Linked DNA regions of Struthio camelus. The protein of the gene in region 2 purifies or fractionates together with the protein of the main gene of each other region. This does not show direct contact. Links are inferred from orthologs where the notes say so. Each region holds a gene or a part of one and is shown on either strand. Other genes may lie near its edges.

Region 1 (7,015 bases), on a different chromosome or scaffold from region 2:
TGGGTCAGCAGCAGGTTTCAGATATGCAGATCCCCTAAAGAGCACAGAGGAAAAATTTTTATTTCATAGCTTTGTTTTACATTTAAAGCTATATAAGTATTTAAGAAGTGTGTTTAAATTGCACTTAGCTTACGCGGAACACGGGTAAGCTATTTTGTTCCTCTTCCAAAACACATTTTGCTAGCAACAGTGCAGCAGTAGTAAGCATGCTCCCAATGACAAGCGATATCATCATAGCAGTAGTGTATTCCTGCACATATTATGGCAGAAGTCCCTTTCGTGGAAGTGGTTTCTTCCTACTTAGGCTTGTAAACAAACTTATTTAAACTATGGTGTAACCAGAATTCCTAGTCCCCCTTCACAAAAGCATAACTTTTCATCTGTGTATTAAAGACCAAGAAAACTTCTAGCTGCAGCTGTATAGTCATCCTGCAGCACGGATTTCCATCAGCACTCCCTCCTCTATTTTCCCCCTGTATGTTTTCTCTACAATTTTTTTTCTCCTTTTGAGAATCTAATCTTAAGTCCCAGGTCAGAACCTTCCCCCTCCATTTCAGGTGGCATTTAAGTTCTCTCCCAGAATACGAGAGAGGCAAAATTAGCAGACATCAAGCAAAAAAACAAAGTTTCATAAGGGGCACTCTCCTCATGACATTATCCAATATTTTCACTACAGGCCAGAAGAAAGCACATAAATATTAGAAACGACACCCCCTGGATGAAGGTCAGTATGCTACACAATAACCCCACAGCTGGAATTATTGAACACAGCTTAAAACTTGTTCCAGTTATTTCTATTGGTGATAAGCTCTTCTAAACACTGTCTTAAAAACAGTCACACGCAAGGTCATACACTTGTAAAACACCAACCATATTACAGAAAAGGGAATTGTATCATGGAAGGCAATGACATTAAGGTCTTTGGGCAGCACTGCAGATACCATGTCGGCATTAATTCCTCACAAATCTGTGGCAAAAGGACTAACGGGAACCTTGGAAAGGAGTATCAAGGAGAAAGACACTTTTATCTTTTTATATTGCATCAGGAAGATCAATAATGGACTGTCGCCCTCCCATTCAGGGACCAAGTTTTAATACAATGCTGGAAGCCAGAGACACTGCTGAAAAACTACAAGAACGATCCCAGTCCTGAAAGAAATGCCTTTCTGTGCAAGTTAAGTCTTTTCAAGAAGGAAAAGGCAGAGTGATGACTTAGTTCTCACCAAAGGCTAACAATGAGAAAAGAGGTCCAAGTCTTCTCCATACTTAACCCAGCAAAGGTATAAAGAGATGCAACGACTAAAGTTGTAGCCAGAAAAGCTTTTGGCAACGAACTTCCTTTTAGATTACAGAGATAATTCATGAAATTAATCAAAATATAATCAAAAGTGAGAAAGGTGTCTTGTTGAAAGGTGTCTTTAAGTCCTCTAGCCCCAATCGAAGGTTATAAATTTCAATGCAATCGGGAGCCAAAGCTCTGCGGCAGCCTGCAACGACCAAAGTGTCCCAAGAGTGTATTTTTAACCCCGCTCCTGCTCTCCAGCGCGGAGGACAACACGCCGACAAGCACACCTCTAGATTGTACCCCGGCCATCCCCAATTTTAATATCAGCAAGTCGAAAGGAGACTGCCTCACACCCACGGCGACACGGGATCCCGGGATGGGACTCCGGCGGAGCATGAGCCCTCCCCTGCCACGCACCCTGCCCGCCCCACACCTGGGGGGGGGGGGCCACCCCCTCCCACCCCGCTCGCAGGCCATACAAAACGGACCCCCTCCCACAAGCGAGGGATAGGCCCTCCGCCCCCCCCAAAACCTGCTTGTCAGCCCCTACCCCACAGGCTGCCTTATCTAATTAACATCGATGGTCCGCCCCTCCCCCCATGGCCTGCCCCCCCAGACCTGCTGTCCCCCCCACATCTGCTCACCCACACCTCCCCCACTCGCAGACCCCTCCCAGACTCGCCCCTCCCCCACTCGCTGACCCCCCGACTCGCCCCTCCCCCACTCACTGACCCCCTCACATGCCCCCCCACTCGCTGACCCCCCGACTCGCCCCTCCCCCACTTACTGACCCCTCACATGCCCCTCCCCCACTCGCTGACCCCCCCGACTCGCCCCTCCCCCACTTACTGACCCCTCACATGCCCCTCCCCCACTCGCTGACCCCCCCGACTCGCCCCTCCCCCACTTACTGACCCCTCTCACATGCCCCTCCCCCCACTCGCTGACCCCCCTCAGACTCACCCGTCCCCTCAGACCCCTCCCCCACTCACTGACCCCCCCAGACTCGCCCCTCCCCCATCCCAAACCCCCCAGACTCGCCCCTCCCCCATCCCAGACCCCTCTCACCCGCCCCTCCCCCACTCGCTGACCCCCCCCGACTCGCCCCCCAGACCCCTCCCTCATCCGCCCCTCCCCCATTCGCAGCCCCCAGACTCGCCCCTCCCCCACTCGCTGCCCCCCCCACACACTCGCCCCTCCCCCAGACCTCTCCCACCCCTCCCCCACTCGCCGACCCCCCCCACACTCGCCCCTCCTCCCCAAACCCCCTCACCCGCCCATCCCCCACTCGCTGAGCCCCCCCCCGCCGGGGGCCCCCTCCCCCACCCCCTGCTCCCCCCGGACCCGCTCCCCCCCTCCTCCACCCACCGCCCTTCCCCCTCCCCACGGCCAGGAGCCCGCGCCGCCCCGCAGCCCCCCCCCCGCGGCGGCCACAGCGGCCCGGCCGCTGCCGCAGCGCCGCCCTCGCCGCGCAGGCCGGCGGGGCGCGGGGGGGTGACAGGAGGGAAGGGGGGGGCAGGGGGGTCGGCCGGCGGCACTCACTCGGGCAGGTAGGTGGAGGAGAAGCTGCTCCAGCGGTGCAGGGTGTAGCCCAGCACACGGCTCTCGGGGCCCGCCGGCCCTGCCGCCGCCATCTTGTTGTCGGCAGCGGCCGCCGCGGCGCCCGGCAGCGGCCGCCAGGGGCGGGGCGGGGCCCGCGCGCTTAAAGGGGCCGCGCGGCCGGGGCGGGGCCGGGCCGCGCCAGGCGGCGTCTAGGCCGCGGCCGTGAGGGGGCCGCGCCGGCGCGAGTGGGCGGCGTGGGCCGCTCTGGGGGGCCACCTAGGCCGCGGGTGCCATGGAGGCCACGCGGGCTATCGGTCACGAGGCGGGAGTGGGGCCACTCGGGGACATGCAGGTTGGGGGGCGCCAGGGGGGCCACGCGGGCCGCGGTCGTGAGTGGGGTATGGGGCATTCAGGGGGGGCCACGCAGGCCGAGGTCGTGAGTGGGGTGTATGGGGAGTGGTGTCCCCACGGGTGGCAGGCCACGCGGTGCATTGGGGGCCGTGAGGGCTGTGGGTCACGAGTGGGGTGTGGTGTCCCCAGTGGGGGTCTTCCAGGCCTTGCATAGGCTCTGGGGTCTCCCTGAGGTGTAATGGGGGAGCTGGGTCACTAGTGGGGTGCCTGGGCCTTGGGGTCCCCATGGGTGCCACGCCGTGGGGCACAGTGGGGGCCGTGGGTCACCAGTGGGGTGCCTAAGCCATAGACTGCCAGTGGGAGACGTGGGGGCCACACTATGGGGCACCGTGGGGGCCACGGGTCACCAGTGGGAGACGTGCCGCAGGACTAATTTTAAGGGCAGCCGTGGGGTTTTGGCGATTTTCACAGCAATTTATGGTGATCCCGGAGCTTCCTCCCCACCTTGAGGCTCATTTCGCCCTGGTGAAGAAGTTTCTTTTCCTTCTGTCCGCTTCTCCTCCGCGCTGGGCTCGGCGTTGCCCGAGCAACGGCAAGACATCCTTTTTACCCTTGTCGCTATGTTTTTGGGGACGGAATGATTCCTCCCTCATCTCTTGCGTGTCGTCTGTTTTCCTCCGCCAGTCAAAGCACCGCTGCATGGATTTAATTAGGCCGTGGTGTCTTCTTTTTCCATCCCAGAATAACTTAAAATTAGAGCCCGGCCCGTCAGACCGAAGCCGCTGGTACGTAGCGGGGAAAGGGGTCGAATAAAACCGGGGCGGGATTTTATGGCGCGCTGGCTCTCTAGCTGATATGTATCGTAAGTCAGCTTAGTCGTTCTCCCCTGCTCCGTTTTATTAGCTAAATGTTTGACTGTAACTTTTTCTACTGCAGAAGAAGCACCAAAAGGAAGAAACTTGTTTCGACACTTATTACGCCATGTTAAAATGCTGGGGTTTCATTTTTTCCAAAGATGGATTAAAGCAATTAAATATACATGACAGTAAATAGATAAAAAGTTAATAATAAGTAGAATTAAAGTTCGAACAATGATGTAAAATCGATTAAAGTAACCTTTCTTGCACGTCCGACGACACGAACGACGGAGCATCCCAAATGGTTTTGTGGAACAAACTAGCGGCAAATCATCCTCCGTGTTTTCACCGCCTTTTCATTCACTGCAGGCACGCGTTTGCAGGGTGGTTGTTTTTGTCTTTGCAGCGGATTCACTGGTGCGTGGACGGAGTCACTTGTTTTACCAATTGTCCCATTTGCAAGCGATTGGAAATGGAGCGTCGGGAGCTAAAATCAGTCAGAAGGATTTTTTTCCTTGTTTCTGGGCTTTTTTTCCCCCAGTCTGTACCGCAGCTTGCCTGCACGAAGCAGTGGCCTGCAGGGCCTTGCCATGGGAAAAAACACCGCCTGTTTCTCATGCCTCCTGCATCATCTGATTTAATAACTTGGCGGAGAGCTCTGCCCGCCCCTGCAGAGCCATCCCGGCTGGTAAAGTGGGTATTCCTTGACAGGTGTCTCCAGGAGGACTTGTTAAAGTTTTTTTCTGCATTTTAAATTATTTCTTTATTTTTCTTTTTTTAAGGGAGCCGCAGAAGGGAGATGGTTTCACCGACGGCGAGGTTAAGAGGGAAGGGGAAGGTTTGGGACATCGCTGCGACGCCTCTGGGCTGCTCAGGAAAGGAGGTATTTCAAGATAAAGATAAAAAAGCAAACAAACAGATGTCAGTTGGAAATGACAGATTGGAGAGTTATTATCAGGCAGGACAGAAAGATGCCTGAGTAGATTAAATTAACACAAGGATTTTTCCCCCTCCTCCTCTTATTTTAGGAGAGACAGTTGGAACACAGCAACGAAACCTGGCTGCGGATGAAAAATTCGCTCAGCGGCGTTGACGGCTGAACATCAACTGCATCGTTCAAAAGGTCTCCATGCCTTGACGAGACCCGTTCCCTGAGCGGGGACGCAGCGTTTTCCTTAGTATCAGCGCAGCTCTAGGACAGCGCAACAGTGGCCGTGCACCGAGTACAAACTTCTTCAGTCATTCTGGTAACGAGTGTGCAAGTTTGCAGCCTTCCTGTGGCGTTTAAGATTTCACTCATCGAGACTTCTGCTTGAGGACTTTTTTTTTAATTTTTTCTTTTCCCCCCACCCCCGGCTACTGCAGAGGTAATAGTTTATGAAGGATGTCGCTAATAAGATATTACCCGCTCCAGAATAAGAGATGCTATGTCATAACTGGGAGCCGAGAAGAGCTCTCGGCGATGCCGAAATCAAACCTGTGACCTCTGCGTACGCAACTTGCGGAACTAGGAGCAAACGGCAGGCGAGGGCCCCGCACCCGAGGAGGGAGCGTGGCGGAGGGGCTGCTGGCATGCAGCAGCAGACAAGCTCACGGCTCGACGTGAGGGTAAAACGCCCCCGGGAGCCACTTTGCCCAGGATCCCGTTACTGCTCCCCTCAAGACCTGGCCAGGCAGGACGCAGTAACCTACTCCCTGAGCCAGCTTATTTTTAGCACGTTTTTGACGAAAGGAATCGAACGCCAGTGAAATCCACTGCAGTGACAGTTCTGGAAAATCTTTACTCCTCCAGAGCACAGGATTGGGGCAGGAAGCGAAGAGGCTGCAAACCGCACTGGCAGACCTGTTCTCCCGGTTTTGGGGATCGGTCTGTCCGGCTGGTGGGAACGGGGAGAGCACCGCAGCTCTCCGAGCAGGCTTTGCGCGGCGGGAGGAGCACAGCGTGCCGAGGGCCAGAGTGACACATCCTTGGCCAGCCCACCGGCCTCCAGCTGAGCTCGCCACATCCTGCTCTGGGAGGCTGCCAGCGCTCGATCGCGGTGGCGTAAGAGGGACTCGGAAAACATGATTACTTGGACCCGCTCTCCTAGTCCATGGCCACGTTGTGCCAAGACAACGCCGCATCCATGGGACCTGATGGGTCCAGTGGCACCGCCGCTGCCCTGCACCGCCTCTGGCCACAGCTCAGACACGTGGCTTTGGAGAAGCTCATGAGAAACCCCAAAGAGGGCAGTTATGAAGCAACCAGCCTACAGAGGAGGCCTATTTCTGGCTCTGGAGGGGAAGTGAGATCTCTTCTAGCAGCAACAACAGGTCCCTGCGGCGTTTGGAGGGGCTGGACGGTGCCTGGGGCGGTAGCTGGAGTTGCCAGGAGAGGCCAGGGCGACCCCAAGAGATGTCGTCCGCGTTGCTTGGCCAGGACAATGCGCAAACGGGTGCGAATGCCAACATCACGCTCGTCGTCGAAAACCTTGAAACCCGACCGCGGACAGCTCGGGGATTTGACAGTTGTTTGTGGCTGCCTGGAGACAGACATTTTGCCTGCCGTCACAGACTCGCTCCACTGCTGCGTGTGTTTTGAGTTTCCTCCTGCACAAACCTGCGTGGGCGTTTGGGTATGTAATGAGCGCATAGTTCAGGATGAAAACAAGTTGCGTGGAAGAGCCAAGCAACGCCAAAAAAATGAAAGCAACACAAACAACAACATGGCACGCAGCCATACCAGCTAGACCGTGGGCCAGCCGGATCTCACGTACTCTCCGGAGCTGCAGAGCGGATCAGCTGTTGGAAAAGAGACCTTTAAAGACAAGCTGGAGGAAATAGCGTTGGCAGCGCAGGCCACCGCATATTTCCTTCCAGAGCAGGACAGAGCCAAGGACATTAGGCAGAGCTGTAACATTTGGGGTCTCGTTGCTCAGCCGTGAAGTCAGGCAAAAACCTCAAGTGGCTTGTCATTGTGTAAACGCCCCTTGTTTTCTCA
Region 2 (7,856 bases):
TAAAAAATAAAATTTCTCTAAACTATTAGAGAAATAGCACTAAAGGTGCTTCCTAAATTATTTCAAGAATAACCACTATCTCTTTGTTACTATTTTATTATGACAGACATTTAAAAATCACATAAATGATTGTAAAGAACTGTCTGGCCAGAAATTATGACTTCTGCCAAGACAAAATAACGAGAGATTACACAACAAAAAATCCAAACACTCATTCCACTAGTCTGTATTGCCCAATAAACAGAGATGTCCAAATAGATTCTCTTGGTAGTCATTTTTTGCTTGAAAAGCCATTAAGCCAAAATCCAGCGTATGTCCAGTCAAATCTAGGCAACTTAAATGCATAGGTATTTTTGGCAAACAAGTAAGTGGATTATTCTCCCCTAAAACTTGCTGTAGCAGAAACTAACTACAGCAAAACAATGAAAATGTCCACAAGAAAAGCTATCAGATTCCTAAGAGAAAAGATTTTCCCCTTGTACATATCTCTTTCAGCTTTACACTCAGAAGTTATTTGTAATAAATCAGCAGAAGAAAGCCTGTGAATAGTCTTTTTAGTAATTCAGTGTTCGCAGAATACTACAGAACAATTAGCTTCTCACTGCATTGTGCATCACAGTCATAATCTAAAAGAAAATACATTAGCAATCGGACGCTAGGCACAGAGTAGAGTTCAAAGCCAAGCTTAGTCAGCCAGACACATGTTTATACCATCCAAGAAGAATAAACAATATTGCCTTGACTACTCAGGGAGATTAAATATATTAGGGAAAGAGAGCAGAAAAACAAAGTTTCTCTTCCTAATCAGTCGCTTTAACATAGGAGTATTTTGCATTTAGACTTTGTTATAGAAACAACTCAAGAAATTTCAAGAGACTATGAGTGGGGAAAAGAAAATCAGTGTTTAGAGGATGAAGCAGCTTCTAACAGTTTCTTTTTCTCCACCCACTTCCTTTTCATATCCACTGCCTATTTAAAGGTCTTTACATACAACCTTGCTCTCACCTCTTGTCCTACAACATGATTTTCTTCTTCAGTAGTACGGTTTTTCTTTTTTTTTTTTTAATTATATACATAAGCATATTTTAGCACTTCTGACCCCTGAACTATGAAGCTTCACATTAAGAGGCCTGGCTGCTTCCACTTCTGCTCATTTTCTAAAATATTCAGGATATAGCATATAATAGCTGCAAATATCTGGTTTTATTAGAAAGTTTTAAATAACATGTTAAAGAAAAAATAAGAATTTTGCCATCCGTGAAGACAGCTTACCCTCAGATGGCAAAAGTTAATAGGGTCTCTAAATGGGCGTACACGTAACACATTAGTTTCATTGTAGAGTACTGACTAAAACAAAGCTCCAGTTGGCATGCATTCTCCTGGGATGGCATCACCACTGATTTCATAAGCACCGAAAACATGTCTGGGGCCTTCACGAAACAGTCCCCAAAACTGTTAACCCAAGTCTGCAGGGAAGACACAGGGAGCACCCCGGAGGGACTGCGCACTTTTCATTTTTTTATGGAGAGTGTAAGCTCTGGATCTGCAACAGGATTCTTGTGGGCAAATCTTTGCAGCACCACAGAGGCCTGTGAAGATCAGTGCAAGCATGAGGGCCACGCCACACATCCTTCCAGGCAAGGGCAGCACCTCGGTGTGTGAAGACACACATCCTATCGACTGTCCTTAATGCACAAACCTAAACTGTGTTGGATAGAAAAAATAGTAAAATCAAGTCAAATCAAATAATGCCCCAAAAAGATTAAGTGTTCCTTCATCCCCTCCCAAAACGCCTCAGAACTGGCACTCCACATTTACTGTTGGTGTAAATTGCTGGGTACACACAGCAGCTCTAATATATTTGTTGCTACGTTCCTGGAATTAAGTGCACTTCCAAGCAAGCTTCGCACCTGTATTTCTACAGGACTAAGACAAACACAGTTTTCTCCGAACTGAACAAAAGCAGATCGCAGAAACCGGTGAAGCGGCACAGTTTGCTGTCAGGTTTGGGCTTAGGAGCCCGGGAGTTCCAGTTTAAAATCCCCGAGCCGTGGCTCGCTTCCTACACAGCCTGGGGTAAACCGCTCGGGCTGCCTCCCCGTTCCCTCCCGCTCCGTCGAGAAACGCTGCGTTACCTCTGTCCGGGGCATTTGGCAAAGCTGAAGCGGCCCCGTGTTTAAAGCTCACGCCTCAGAGAGCTCACTCACCCGCCAGCACTAGCCGTAAAAAAAAAAAAAAAAACCAAAAAAAAACAAAAAAAAACCTGCACGGCCAAAACTTGGGAGGCTGCGCTTACGCTCAGCTCCAGAGCGGCTTCGCCCTGAGCGCTCCCCAAGCTAGCCACGACTAAAGCAAACAACGGAGCGGCTGCGGAAGTAACGACGAGGAAAACAAGGACAGCCAGCACAACGCTGCCATCCATCCGTCTGTCCGTCCATCCGTGCTGGCCCCGTCGCCGCTCAGCAGGAAGGGGCAGGAGATGCCTCAAGCAGCAAGGACAGGCAAGGCCCTGCTCCTGCTACAACTTCCCCCCACCACACACACACCCCAAAAGTGTCACCCTTAAAGATAAATAAATAGATAAAAGAAAGAAAGAGTGGGACACCGGGGGGGGGGGGGGCTGCTCAGGCCCCGCACAGCGGCCGGGACCCCCTCGGGGCCGCCGCACCAGGCCGCTCGCCGCCGGCCCGCGGTGAAGTTTCGCCGCTGGCGTTTCCCGGCCCGGTGAAGGGAGCGGGGGGGACGGGACGGGCCCGGTGCGGCGGGGGGACCGGGGAGGAGGCGGGGGGGGGGGGTCTGCACCTACTCTCGCTCTGCAGGATCTCGCGGCGCAGCCCGCCCGCGTACTGGATGAGCTCCTCCAGGCTGCGCTCGCAGAGCTGCCCGTAGCCCGAGAACTTCTGCAGCACCTTCTCCAGCTCCCGCTCCACCGTCACGCACTGGTCCATAGCGGCCGCCGCCGCCGCCGGGCCCCGCTCCTCCGCCGCCGCCGCCGCCGGGCACCGGGCCCCACTCCGCCGCCGCTGGTTCCCCCCCCCACTGCCCCCCGATCCTGCCCGGCCCTCGCCGCCCTCCGGCAGCACCGCCCGGCCCGCGGAAGGGCCCCGCTCGCCTCCCGCCGCGCTCGCAACTTCCCGCTCCTCTCCGGTGACGGCGGCGGCGGCGGCCGTCGCGCAGGCAGCGCCGCGGGCAGCCCGGGGGCCTCGGCGGCGCTCGGCGCAGGCAGAGCAACGGGCAGCCCGGGGGCCTCCCGGCGGGCCGCCAAGGGCGGGGCGGTGAGTGTTGGTCAGGCAACGCCGCGGACAGCCCCGGAAGGGCCTCGCCCCCCGCCGCGATGGGGGGAGTGAGTTGCCCCTCTCGAGCCGGCGGAGGCCTCAGCAGCGCGGGCCTCTAGGCTCCCCCCTTAGGCAGCCCGCGGGGCGGGCGCTGAGAATAACAGTCTAGGGCGAGGGGGGTCCTCAAAGTGCCGTGTTACGACTCAGGCAGTAAGGTAGGCAGCTAAGAGCGGGGTCCTGCGGGTGCCGTTGCCATGGTGACAGGCGCGGCCCGCGGGGCCCTGATGTGCGGCCCAGACCGGGCCGCACCGGCGGCTCCTCGGGCCGTGGCGGAGGGGGCCGAGGGGTCTCCTGCGCCGTGGGGCGCCGCCGGCTGGGGCTGGTCCCTTAGGTGTAACTTAGCCCCCGTGCTGAGGTGAAAATCGCCGGGCAGCAGCCCGTCGCGGCGGGAGCGGAGCTCCGCGGGGGCCGGGGGCAAGGCCCTTCCCCACCGCCCCCAGCCTTGCACTGCTACGTACCGCCGAGAGGCTTGGAGCGGGGTCAGTGCTTCATTAACAATCCTGGCGGGCCGGAAACGGAGGATTTAGGCTGTCATTAGGGCACTAGCTTGGCCAGCAAACTTCCTCTTGAGTGTTGAGTCTCGTGGGTTAAAGTCCTGCAGCCGACTGATGAGCGCGGTTGAAAGAGATGCATGCCCCTGTTTGCTTGAGTATCGCTTGGTTGGCGTACTTGTGGCAACTTCAGTGTTTGGAAAGTGTAGCACAAACCAGACCGTGGCCCCACGGTTTCTGTAGCGCAGTACATCAAAACCTCCTGCTCAACTAGACAAAACTACCTGCAAAAACAGCACTTGGTCTGAGCCTGGAGTGATGTTGTGTCGTCTGTGCCCGTGTAAAGTACTGCTGAAATAGGATAAGAAAATAGAGAAATCTGTATTCTCTTGCAAGAGCACGTGATTTGTGTAGATGCCTACAAGTGGCTGTCATTCTGTTGGATTCAGACCAAGACTGCTGCCCTTGTTTGTAGTCTTATTCTTTATGTAACCATATGTGATGTTTAAAGCCATGCAAATATCATCTTGGGTTTTATGTCATTAGCATGCTGGTTTGATTTGTTACGTTCTTCACCACTGTATTCTCCTTTGTCTTCTGTTAGCATAGGCAAGCAAGTTCACTTTTTTTTTTTTTGTCATTAAACAAAACCTATGTCTTTTGCAGGGAGCAGTAAATGGATTCTCACTGTTAGAAAAAAGAAAATATTACCTGCTTCAAAAAAAATGATCCTTTATTTCAAGATTTAATTAATCCATTTTGCTCCTGTATATTGGTTTGGCCTTGATACGTGTTCAGTTTCTGTGACATTGACTACTGCGTATTTGAAGGCAAGGGAACTTGCCACGGGACGGGGAAGAGTGACTCTCAGCTACAACTAATAAAATGCTTGACTAGATAAAGCTTTGAGCAACCTGGTCTGGTGACATAGCTGGCCCTGCTTTTTGAGCAGGCGGCTGGACTGCGTGACCTCCTGGCATCCCTTCCATCCTGAATTATTCTATGATTCATTACTAGATCATGTAAGGAGTGCCTCATTTAAATAGCTAGTGCTTTAGTTGAGCTGTCAAATCTTGGCCATCATGCTGCAAAATAACATCTACGTGTTAAATCTGTGTCCTTTTGGCCACTTGTAGATAATAGGAAACACCTTACAGTTTCTCCACATGTAATAAAATAGTGTTATTTGGCTGCTGCCATTTTGCTTTGAGACTCTCACACGCACTTACTGGCTGTTTTGAATAATATCAGTTAATGACAAGTAGGCAGGGTGTCATATAATGTATACAATTTGTGGCAATGCACCTATATTGTAGAAAAAGTACATCAAGGGATAGTATGTGAGTGAGCTCCTAACAATTACACTTACAGAGCAGGCTGACTCTTAGGAAAACTGGTTTCAGATAGTCTAAATGTTAGTTTGCTCAAATTTATCTTGTTGTATGTCAATATTAAAACCGTGCAAGAAGAGGGTATGATAGTATTTAACTTGGCAAGGGATTTAACTTGGTAAGGGACTGACTTACAATTTTCAGTTTCAATGTTATGGACTTCAAAATGACAGCCCTTCTTTCAGTGTTCCCTGTATAAGACTGAGTCTAGGAAGTGGATTATTGCCTGTATTTCCAGGCTGCGGAGTCAGCAACTGCCCGTCAGGAAGGATGGGGGAGGAGAGGGAATCCTTGCCATTTATCAAGGGGCAGCTGAGGCTTCAAATTTGGCCCTCTGACAAGAAAAGATGGTTGTCCCATTTCTCAGGATTTGGTCTCGTTCTCTGGTAAATCATAGTAAAATATTTTTGCTGCCAAGATTGTTTAAAAGCAAATCCCTGCTTCAGGTTTATGTTTAAGGGTAGGACTTACATACTTCATTCTCTTCACGTTTGTAAGACTGCTCTATGAGCATCGGACTGACTGTCTGATGGCTGTTTAATATCGTTAATTAGGTTGAGTTAACACTGGGGTCTTTAAAAATGTCAGCATCTTTCTTGTTTGCCTTCAGCCCAAATGAGTTTTCAATTCACTGTTCTCTGCATTTCCAGATAATTAAAATCCCTGAAAACGTGTTTGCAGCTGACACGTCAAAGACATTCGGAGTTCCAGCTAGAAACCAAGAAATGCCGGTTGCGTCTAGAACATCATGGCCAGTTCAGGTGGGGTCAGTTTAATAAGTCAGGGATGCGAAGGTGGGGAGAAAAAAGAGGATGAGAGAGTCTGGGAGAGGAGAATTGTTTTAGGAGGTCTTTCTCACTGTACTCAAATATGAGTCCGAGGAAGAAAATCCAAGCCTCTGTTAATATGTCAACATTTTCTGGTTTGTTTGAGCAGAGCCCTCAGTGCTGTGGGAAAGTCTCCTAGGCACCAGTGTTTTAGCACAGAGGCCCCAGGTCTGCTGCTCAGCTTTCCTAGCAATAATCCTTTTCTCTTCCAGGCTTTTGGTTAACTCACCTGCAGTGGCCAGTTCCTGGTCATACCAGTGCCCAGTATGCTTTCCATTTGCGGCTGTGCCCCTATTCATCATTGCTTTCTGTTGCCCCTTTGCCTCTGTGTTCATAGCTGCTTTGCTTTTGGTTGTTTGGGGGGCTTTTGAACAGTGGTTTGAAACATACTTTTTACTTTCTTGAAGTTACTCCAGGGTTTTGAGTTTTGGCAGATGATTAGCTTAGTATCTGCAGGGGACTCATCATCACTTACCACTGGGGAATGTTAGGAACTGATTTAACTCAGCCCATGAGCATTAGGAAATGACATATTGGTGACAGCCTCCCCAGCAGTTGGTGTTGCAAATAATTTTGCTGTGAGTGTAGACTATTAATTGTTGCTAGGTGCTTTCCAGCTGGAGGAAGCCAGACTATCACTAAGCACAGCACACAGCCTGAAGCAATAAGGGGAAGGAGGGGATACAACAAAGTGATTGGGTGGAGAAGGGTCTACAGCTTCTCGTGTTAAAAACAAAATGCTTTTTTTCTTTTTTAACTCAACACACAAAGTTTCTCTGCAAACATTTAACTCCGTATCTTCCTCCCACCCAGCACTCCACTTATTCTTGAGCTGCTCACTTGAAACAAAAAGTACAGAAATCAGGCAGCTTCTTGTGTGTGTCACAGAAGAAAGGGGTCTTCATGAAGCTTTTAGAAGAGAAGAAAAATGTGGTTTTCTTGGTGTGTTTTCAATACTTGAGAGCCTTCCTTTGGTCCTAGCGACAGGTGATGTTGAGTGTGCTTTTTATTGAAAGTACTTTGGCTCTTCGAACAGTAAGAACAAAACCGTTCTCAGTTTTGTTTTGGCCAAGGGGAAAGGATTAATCCTAGTGAGGTGGCCGCTTTCATATTAGGGAGATGGCCACTTACTCCGTTGAAGAGGGAGCTTATGCAGCTTTAATGTACTATGAAGGAGGAGGCAGCGCTTCAGCCCTGTCCTCCCACAAGCTCTTCCTGTCGACTGTTCCTCCAGTACGTTGTCCTCACGCTGCACTTCCCACAAGAGGCTCGCTTCAAATCAGAGTGAACTGATGAAATCAGTTTGCATTTAATTAAGCAGCATCAGCAGAGCTGGGTTTTGCAGTCCACCCTCTCCGCCTTTAATTTTTACTGCACCACATAAAAAAGGTATGGAGAATAAGGGTTGAGATAGCTCCTGATATGAGGCACAAAATTTACACGCCCCCAAGGGCTTGGTTGGTGGGCAGCTGCTTCTACAATCTCTCTCCTCTTCCACTTTCCAGAAAACAAACTGCACTGGGTCCGTTGCAGAAGAAAATAGCGTCCCGAATTTTCCTCTTGAAGAGGCAACGGCTGTGCACGAACGTGCAATACCAGGCAGGCTGAACCTGCATCCCACTCTGCCCAAATCTTAGGCTGGATAGGTTAGGGCACGGAAAGACAAAGGGAAAGGATAGAGTTCTTATTCCTCTTCTAGAACTGTTGACATTTTGCCTTTTTTTTTTTTTCCTTTTCTTTAAATCATACCACCCTATAAATGTGTTTAACAGTTCTGAGGAGTTTGGCTATGTAAATGCTTTCTCTCTCCAG
Region 3 (7,674 bases), on a different chromosome or scaffold from region 2:
GATGGGCATGGAAGGAAGGACTTAAAGATCTGACTTGTTTGTTTTATTTTCTTTTAGCAACACACCACCACTGGTAGAGTATCTAAAGCTGACTTCAAGGTCAGATTCCTGTTCCACTCAGAGCTCAAGAGACACCAGATAAGCCTCCTGCATTCTCTCAGGACTCCCAGCGAGGCCCCTGATACTAGCTTTACACTCCAAGAACAACAGATTGAAGCTATTAGACTACCTAGTGGTCAAATTTACCGTATACTTGATCCCTCCATCCTCTATTTCTGGTGGCAACTTCTCCCCCTACCAGGAAAAAGGAAAGCCTTTAAACAACACCTTTTCTTATGGTTTTGCAATAAACACTCACCTCTGTAAGGCCTTTAATCTTCAAGTATCCACAGAGATAGGAGTTTTCCATATCCACATGCTAGAAGAGAGTGCAAAGTCCTAACATAAGCATGTGCATGAAGGCACCCAATGGATCCAAAACAGTTTCTAAACCTGTGGTCCTCCAACACTCAATTCTGCTTAAACTGGTACTGACTGTCCAGCTTACTGCACAATGTTCACACTGACATCCCCTTTCCCAAGGCTGGAAACAACTTGGACAGATCCTTTTAGAAGTGCCCAGCTCACTTCTGACAGCCTCCACGTCCCAGGCCTGACGACACCTCACCCACTTTCAGCTTCTTCAAACTGAGGCAGCATCTTCTGTCTGGAGGTCTCCAGAGGGAGTAAATCCCCCTTCTCTACCAAGAAGGAACTTGACTCCCAGTTTTCTCAAAGGGAGAGAGTATCACTGGCAGAATCTCTAACACACCCAGCCCTCACCTACCCCAGCCAAACCAGCAACCAAGAGGGGGAAGGGCAAAAAGCATATTTTTACCCAAGACAATTCAGGCTAGAGGAAGAAAGCATCACCCTGAACTTTCCAGTCCACCTATTTAACAGGCCTGAGCCACCTCCTCTCTAACACGCTAGTCTGTACGCTCAGCCTAGTACCCAGGACTGGTGTGCCCCGTCACACACCAAAGCCTGTTCAAAACAGATGTCTCGTGTGTTTTGAAGAGGCCCTTCTCCCAGATCTAACGCTTTCATGTCACCCTTCTTTGAGTTACTTGGCTGCATCTTGCCTCTTCTGCTATGCAGAAACTAGGTAGGGGGCTGCTTCTATTCTGAATGCCTTTAAAGTAAGAAGACTTTCCAAGTTTTTCCCCCCCAACATCTCCAGATGAGTTTTCAAAGCAAGAACTGAGCTATTTTGGGAAGTGTATACATCAGCTATAAGAAGATGGATCTTCCCCACCTGTGATCAAAGAGAAGCAACATTTTCCTGTACTCAGCAGGGGAAGAGCAGATAGCCACCTCTTCTCAGCTGACACGCGCAAAACAGTAGCAATTTTAGCACAAAGCTATAGCCAGTCTCTGGAACAAGGCAGCGTGCAGTGAAGCTGATCAGCCATGGGATGTCTCTACAAGAGCAAGCTGCACCAGGGACACTTGTGCTGTTGACAAGCGGGGGACCATATGTGAAAAGAGACAGTATGGATAAAATGCTACCCCATCTGTTGACCTTGGGACTCTCACGTTACTCCACAACACTGACCCATGCATCAGTCTTTATCACTGCACTTGTTACAAGCTGCCAGGGTCCCACAGATCCTATGCCACCAAGTTGGGAACAAAGCCGTGACCTGCAGAGCACTTTATAGGAAAGCGTGCACCATATGTCTGGCTTGCCTATTTATTAGTAACCCCACACCTCGCCAGCTCTACCTTAAGCAATCATACCAATGTCTAGGACTAAAATTAAAGCACAGGAGGAGACCAAGACCGCAAAAAGGAAAGGGAAAGCTATACCAGCCAGTGCCCTGATTCCCCAGCACACCTGGGTCCAGGCACGTTCCCACTAGAAACAAACCACTGTGCTTTGCCTCAGGCTCCCTGCTCAGCCTGGGATCCTGGGGAAGCATAGGGCACCACAAGGAGGGATCCTTGGGATCTCAGGTCCAGCAGAGCCCTGCTCTGCTAGCCAGGACCTGGATCCCTACTGCTTTCCAGCCAGGCCTGAAATACAGGCTGCCTCGCTGGTATTGACTCCTTGGGACACCACCCACTTTAAGCCAGCCTTTTGCCTATCCTCCCTGGGGCCCAGGGGAGCAGGGCCAGCCCAGGGCTTGAGGGCAATGGGGGAGACATCCAGGATCACAGACCTCAGCAGAGCTGAGGGCAATAGGGCAAGGGAGTGAAGCGAACAGACCCAAGGAAAATGAGGCCACAGTGGTGGGAGGTGGAGCAGAAGAAACAGGCCTGAGGGTAACAGGGCAAAAAGGGGGAGGGGGGGAAGAAACAGGCCTGAGGGTAACAGGGCCAAAGAGGGGGAGGGGAGAAGAAACAGGCCCTGAGGGTAACAGGGCCAAAGAGGGGGAGGGAGAAGAAACAGGCCCTGAGGGTAACAGGGCAAAAAGGGGGAGGGGGGGAAGAAACAGGCCTGAGGGTAACAGGGCCAAAGAGGGGGGGAGAGAGGAGAAACAGGCCTGAGGGTAATGGGACAAAAGGGGGGAGGCGAGGGGAGCCCGAGCTGAGCGCAACGGGGCAAAGCAGGAGGCCAGGCCTGAGGGTAGCGGCCCCTCGCCGGGGCCCGAGGGGGAAGGGAGCAGGGAGGCGGCCCCGGGCCGGAGGGACGGGGTCCCCCGGCGGTTGGGGGCCGCTCGCAGGCCCGGCCAGGCCCGGGGCAGGGGAAGGGAGGCCGGCCGGCCCCTCACCTGCATGACCACCTCCACCTCGTAGGCGTTACCCTTGCTGCGCTGCTGCCCGCGGAACTTGGCGCCGCTGTAGAGCAGCGAGGTGGCCACGCCGGGCTGCGCCGTGTTGATGGGGGGCGGCGGCACCAGGCTGCTGGCGGCCGCCCCGGACGACGGCGACGAGGCCGAACCCGCCGCCGCCGCCGCTGCCCCGCCCGCGCGGCACCGCTCGCTCCGCACCGGCATCTCGGGCGGGTCCCCGGGCGCCAGCGTGGCCGGGGCTGCGCGCGGCCGGGGGCGCCGGCCCGGTCGCCCCCCCCCCTCCTCCCGCCCGCCCCTCACGCTGCGCCGCCGCCGCCGAGGCCGCCGCTCCTGCCTGGCTCAGGGCCTCCCGGCAGCGCCTCCGCGCGCTCCCATTGGCCCTCGCGGGTGCTGCGGGAGGGGCGGCGCCGAGCCGCTATTGGCCGCCGGCGCGGGGCACGTGCCCCTCTCCCAGCAGGCGCGGCCGCGGGCGCTCCTGGGAAGTGTAGTTTTCCTCCCTCCCTCCGCCGTCTCCCCGCAGGACGGGGCGGCCGAAGGGGCAAAACGCGTTCGCGGTGCGGATTGGCTCCCGCGGCGGGCAGCATGGCGGCGCCCGCGGAGCCGCGCTGAGGCGGACGGTGGCGACAGCGGCGGCGACTGCTCCGCGGTTCCCGGCGAGCGCCGCACGGCCGTTGAGTGCCTCCCGCCTCCTCTCGCCGCGATGTGGCGCGGCTGCCGGCGGCTGCTGCCCGGGCGCTGCTCGCCGGCCCGGCGCCCCGGCCCGCCTCCTGCCGCCGGTGGGGCTGCGGTGGGGCCGGGCGGGGGCCGGGCCTACGCCCCGCCGGCAGGTGAGGGCGGACGGGCCCCTCGGGGGCTTCGGGGCTCCCTCTTGGGGGGTCTGGCGGGCCCCTCTGTTTGGGAGAGCCCGTTCCCTCCTCCGCTGCGGGGGGGAGGGGGTCCTCCCGATGGGACCCCCTTCCCCCCCCCTCCCCGGGCCCTGGAGGGCGACTTCCCTCAAGGTCACCCCGGAGCCCTCGCCAGCAGGACGAGTCAAACAGATGGAAAGCGATAAAACTCTCCGCGAGGAGGCTAACGAGCGTTCAAGCACACCCCTCGCCGGGTCTGGGGCTCCTTAAGCCTTTTTAGGTGCTGAGGTGACAGGGCCCCACACGCCGGGCCTCCCCCTGCTCCTATGCCCTGGCTTCAGCAGGGCTGTCACTGACAGCAGGGCTAAGCCCTTGGTGTATTGGTTTGTTATGGTTGCTATTGTGGTTTTGGTGGGTGTTAAGACTTTGTTGGGGGGGGGGGGGGAGCACTCCAGGTGTGGTTCAGGCACACATTGGGCTGTGAGTCACCTCTGCAGGTCTTGCTGGAAAGGTGTAGATATGAGGACGGTAACATTAGTTTTGTTGCCTATGAGAGGAGGCTGCAGGTTTTCAGGACATATATCCTGGGGCTCTTTGGCATCTCAGTGAAATGTCTTCTCTTCGGTACGTGTATGTGAATCTTTTCAAAACTGTGCCCTAATAATTTGGCATTTTTTGAGGCCATGAAACTAGAGTTGGGTCAGCCTGAGCAGATCCTCTTCTGTTTCACTGGTGCTCTGTAGAGGTGTGGGAACGTGCTCGTATGGAGTGGCACAGAAAACAGACCTGCAGCTCAACCTGTTTGCATTACTGTTCAGGAGGTATAGATTTAGGGATTCAGGATTTATGGTCCTGTTGCTCTTGTCCGGGGAATGGTTTGCAGATTCTTCCTGCTTTGAGTGAGAGATGAACCTGTGAAACATCCATTCCCATGCAGTCCAGGCTCTCAGATGTCTGCTGGGAGTGTACGCAACAGTATTGCTACGAAAGGAGGCTGCTTGTAAAACAGTTGTAATTCCCTCAGATTCACCTTGCTGGTAGAGCAGGCTTTCTCCTGAGCAGAGCAGGAGCTGCCAGCGTGGGATGCGTAGGCTGGAGGGAGCCGAGGGAGTGGTTCCTCCCCTGGTGACTCATTTGTATGCTGCAATGTGCATGATGTCCCCAGCATGATCCAGCTGCTATGACATTGCAGGCTACTCTCCTGCAGGATGTCATCCAAGGTGAGAGATGGGGACTGCTGATTGCATGTAGCTCCTGTAACAAACCCACTCCTGTGGGTGACCGTGGTAGAGGGAGCTGTGCCAAAACCCCCGGTGGGGTGCAGTATCTTGCCCCATGCTCTCTGAGCGTGCTGGGAGCTGTAGTTTTTGCTGATGCAGACAGCCGCATCCCTCCATGTGGTGCATCAGCTGCAGGTGGCGGGTCAAAGCAGAGAATGAGCTAAATTCACTGCAGGAGATTGCGTGGGCTGGAACTGTGTGGGTTTGGAGTTGGCAGGGGTGGCAAGGGACACTGCTGGGGCCTGCCCTGCCTTGTGATTCAGTTCTGCTGGGTTTCTTGTCACTCTGAATTGGAACAAGCTGGGAGAGGGAGTTAGCCAAGGCAGTCCAGGAAATTAATTTGTCAAACATGATTGTAATCAGGGAATTTTGAAAGACTGAGCCCAGAGTGAAACTCCATATGGACTGGGGAGGAATGACAAGATAGGTCCGCTTTAGAAACCTCCCCTGCCAGACTCTGTAGAAACCTGCTGAGGGTGAGTTGGAATGGAGCTGAGATCCCAGCCCTGGGTGGCAGAAGCAAAGAAAAGCTGGGCCCATTCACTTGCTGGTTGTGCACAGCAACACTCCCACCGGTTTCATGATGCTTCCCCAGTGGAGAGGAGCTCACTGAAATGATGTGGTGCTTGGAAGCTGTCTGCAAAAAACACTTCAGAGTGCAGTCTATGGCAGTGCCATATTTTTCTCCCTCCCTCCTTCCCCCAACAAAACTCTTGAGGCCAGGACTTCTCCCCCCCTCCCCCCACCATGTGCAGAACTAGACTGGGGAGAGGCTCTTTTGCCTGGGCACAGGCAGTGGCTAGGGGGTTGCCTGGTCCTCTTCTGGCGAGAGGCTCCCTGCAGGCCCCCAGGCTCAGGGTGTGGATGAACGAGCGAGACCTTGTGACAAGAGGCCAGGCCATCTGGGCCTCGACACCACCGAGGGCTCCATCTGTTTTAAGCTGTAGTGGGAATCAGGGGAGGGGACTGAACTTTGCTCTGACTGCCCTTTGAATGGCTCTTGTTTTTGCCCCCAGAAAGGAAGCGGTTTTACCAGAACGTTAGCATCTCGCAAGGAGAAGGTAAGCGTGGCCACTGGGAGAGGAAGGAAGGACTGGGAGGAGGTGTTGGTCCCTGGGGAGGGGGTTATCACTGCTTCCTTAGCAAGACAGTGGCACACCTGCAACCCGTGTCATATGAGTGGGATATTTGTCACCAGCCTGCTTTGTCCTTTCCTCATTTCTAGCTAAACCATGTGGCTGGATTCCAGCTCTGAATCTGCTCCCTCTGTGGGGTTGTCTGTTGTTCCTTAGGGCATGCTCCTCTTTAATTCCCCAGGATTTCTACTCTGATTCTCCAGGAGGCTTTGAAATAAACCTGGACCACCGGAAGCTGAAAACGCCCCAGGCGAAGCTCTTCACTGTTCCCAGCGAGGCCTTGGCTATTGCAGTGGCAACAGAGTGGGACTCCCAGAAGGACACCATCAAGTTCTACACTATGCACCTGGTGAGCACAGCAGGCCGGGGTGCCCAGATGGCTGCACCGCTGCAGCACCTCAGAGGAGCAGAACGAGGTGTGCTTGGAGCAGTCAGAACAAGGAATGTGGGATTCACGGGAGGGACTCGGAATGCTAGGGGCTGAAGAAGGGTTAGCCAGGCCCGCTGGGACCTGCTGAGGGTTTCGCCAGCTGGCAGAACGGATACCAGGGCAAGGTTTAAGAACCAGTTTGGGATGTAAGCCGTGCTCTGGAGCGAATAAGATGAGGGCAGCTCCTGAAAATGTTTCCTTTTGCATCCTTCCTCCCACAGCTTTTCTGAGTATTTGCAGTAGAACTGAGATGGCTGGGTCTAAAACTGAAGTGACTGTGTAGATATGAGAATGGTCTCCGAGTGCAGAACATGGAGGAAGCAGATTGTCCTAATGCCAAAGGAAATGGGAACAAGAGATCAGGACCTTAGTTGTACACTGAGGAGAACCTTGCAGCTCCGTGGGCAGTTAGATGCTGCCGGGGTTACTGCCAGGGAGGGGAATCTGCCTCACGGAGGAGTTTGAGAAGGGGCTGGGCAGCATTATAAGGGATGGCATGGGGAGGGGGTGGAGGAGACTGGATGAGCTCTGGAGCAGTCTTGGAGCCCTCTGCTCTTGGTTTGGTGAGCCTGCCCCAGCAGCATCTGAGGCCAATGAGAAGAATCCTATTGCATGAGCCAAGCTCTGGCTCTGCATTCCCCTCTAGCTGAGCTCCTCAGTTCCCTCAACTTATCCTGAATTCCTCCACTTCTGCTTAGCCTTGTGCTATGGAAGCTAGTGCTTCCCCATGCCTTGAATAACAGTGGTTTGTATTGCTTTTATCCTACAGACCACATTGTGCAACACAGCTTTGGACAATCCTACTCAGCGAAACAAAGTACAGCTGATCTGTGCAGCTGTGAAGTTCCTGGAGACTGACACTGTCTGGTAGGAGACCGTCAGGGACCCTCTACTGGAGAGGCTGGGCTATCTTATTGCAGTGTGGTTTAGGAAAGGTGCCTGGAGGATTCAAATATGACAGGAGGGAAATGTCTACTGTAACTGAGTCCTTGCAGGGCTCTCACCTGTCCTGGTTTTGGCCCAAGGGTTTGAATTAGTTGAGGCCAGCCCTACCTTTGCAAACCTGGTGGATCTCCACGAACTTAAAGGGTACAGGTATGAGGGAGAAAAGGGACCAGGCATTCTGTTGATCTCTGTTTTGGGCACCTCCATGCTGGGCAGGGGCAGAAGCAGCAAGAAATGAAGTTTTCCATGGGAAAAAGAAAA

What was found. Proteins that work in one complex are often made in the same cells at the same time.
Region 1: the proteins of RMND5A (region 2) and MKLN1 purify together in Homo sapiens (affinity purification with mass spectrometry; 4 studies listed by BioGRID and IntAct, counting the BioPlex papers as one, with this or other methods). This does not show direct contact. The link is inferred for Struthio camelus from reciprocal best matches to the Homo sapiens genes RMND5A and MKLN1.
Region 3: the proteins of RMND5A (region 2) and GID4 purify together in Homo sapiens (affinity purification with mass spectrometry; 4 studies listed by BioGRID and IntAct, counting the BioPlex papers as one, with this or other methods). This does not show direct contact. The link is inferred for Struthio camelus from reciprocal best matches to the Homo sapiens genes RMND5A and GID4.

The regions. Positions count from the first base shown.
Region 1 is NC_090942.1:4,288,697-4,295,711, forward strand, and holds the start of MKLN1 (muskelin), read right to left. Parts: upstream 3,012-7,015; 5' UTR 2,920-3,011; coding exon 2,828-2,919; intron 1-2,827. UniProt on the Homo sapiens protein: Component of the CTLH E3 ubiquitin-protein ligase complex that selectively accepts ubiquitin from UBE2H and mediates ubiquitination and subsequent proteasomal degradation of the transcription factor HBP1.
Region 2 is NC_090945.1:80,788,652-80,796,507, reverse strand, and holds the start of RMND5A (E3 ubiquitin-protein transferase RMND5A), read right to left. Parts: upstream 3,089-7,856; 5' UTR 2,949-3,088; coding exon 2,807-2,948; exon of another isoform or gene 2,136-2,806; intron 1-2,135.
Region 3 is NC_090956.1:3,742,846-3,750,519, forward strand, and holds the start of GID4 (glucose-induced degradation protein 4 homolog), read right to left. Parts: upstream 3,012-7,674; 5' UTR 2,982-3,011; coding exon 2,757-2,981; intron 419-2,756; coding exon 359-418; intron 1-358. Other genes in the region: ATPAF2 (ATP synthase mitochondrial F1 complex assembly factor 2), read left to right, coding at 3,478-3,604, 5,919-5,963, 6,242-6,387, 7,238-7,335.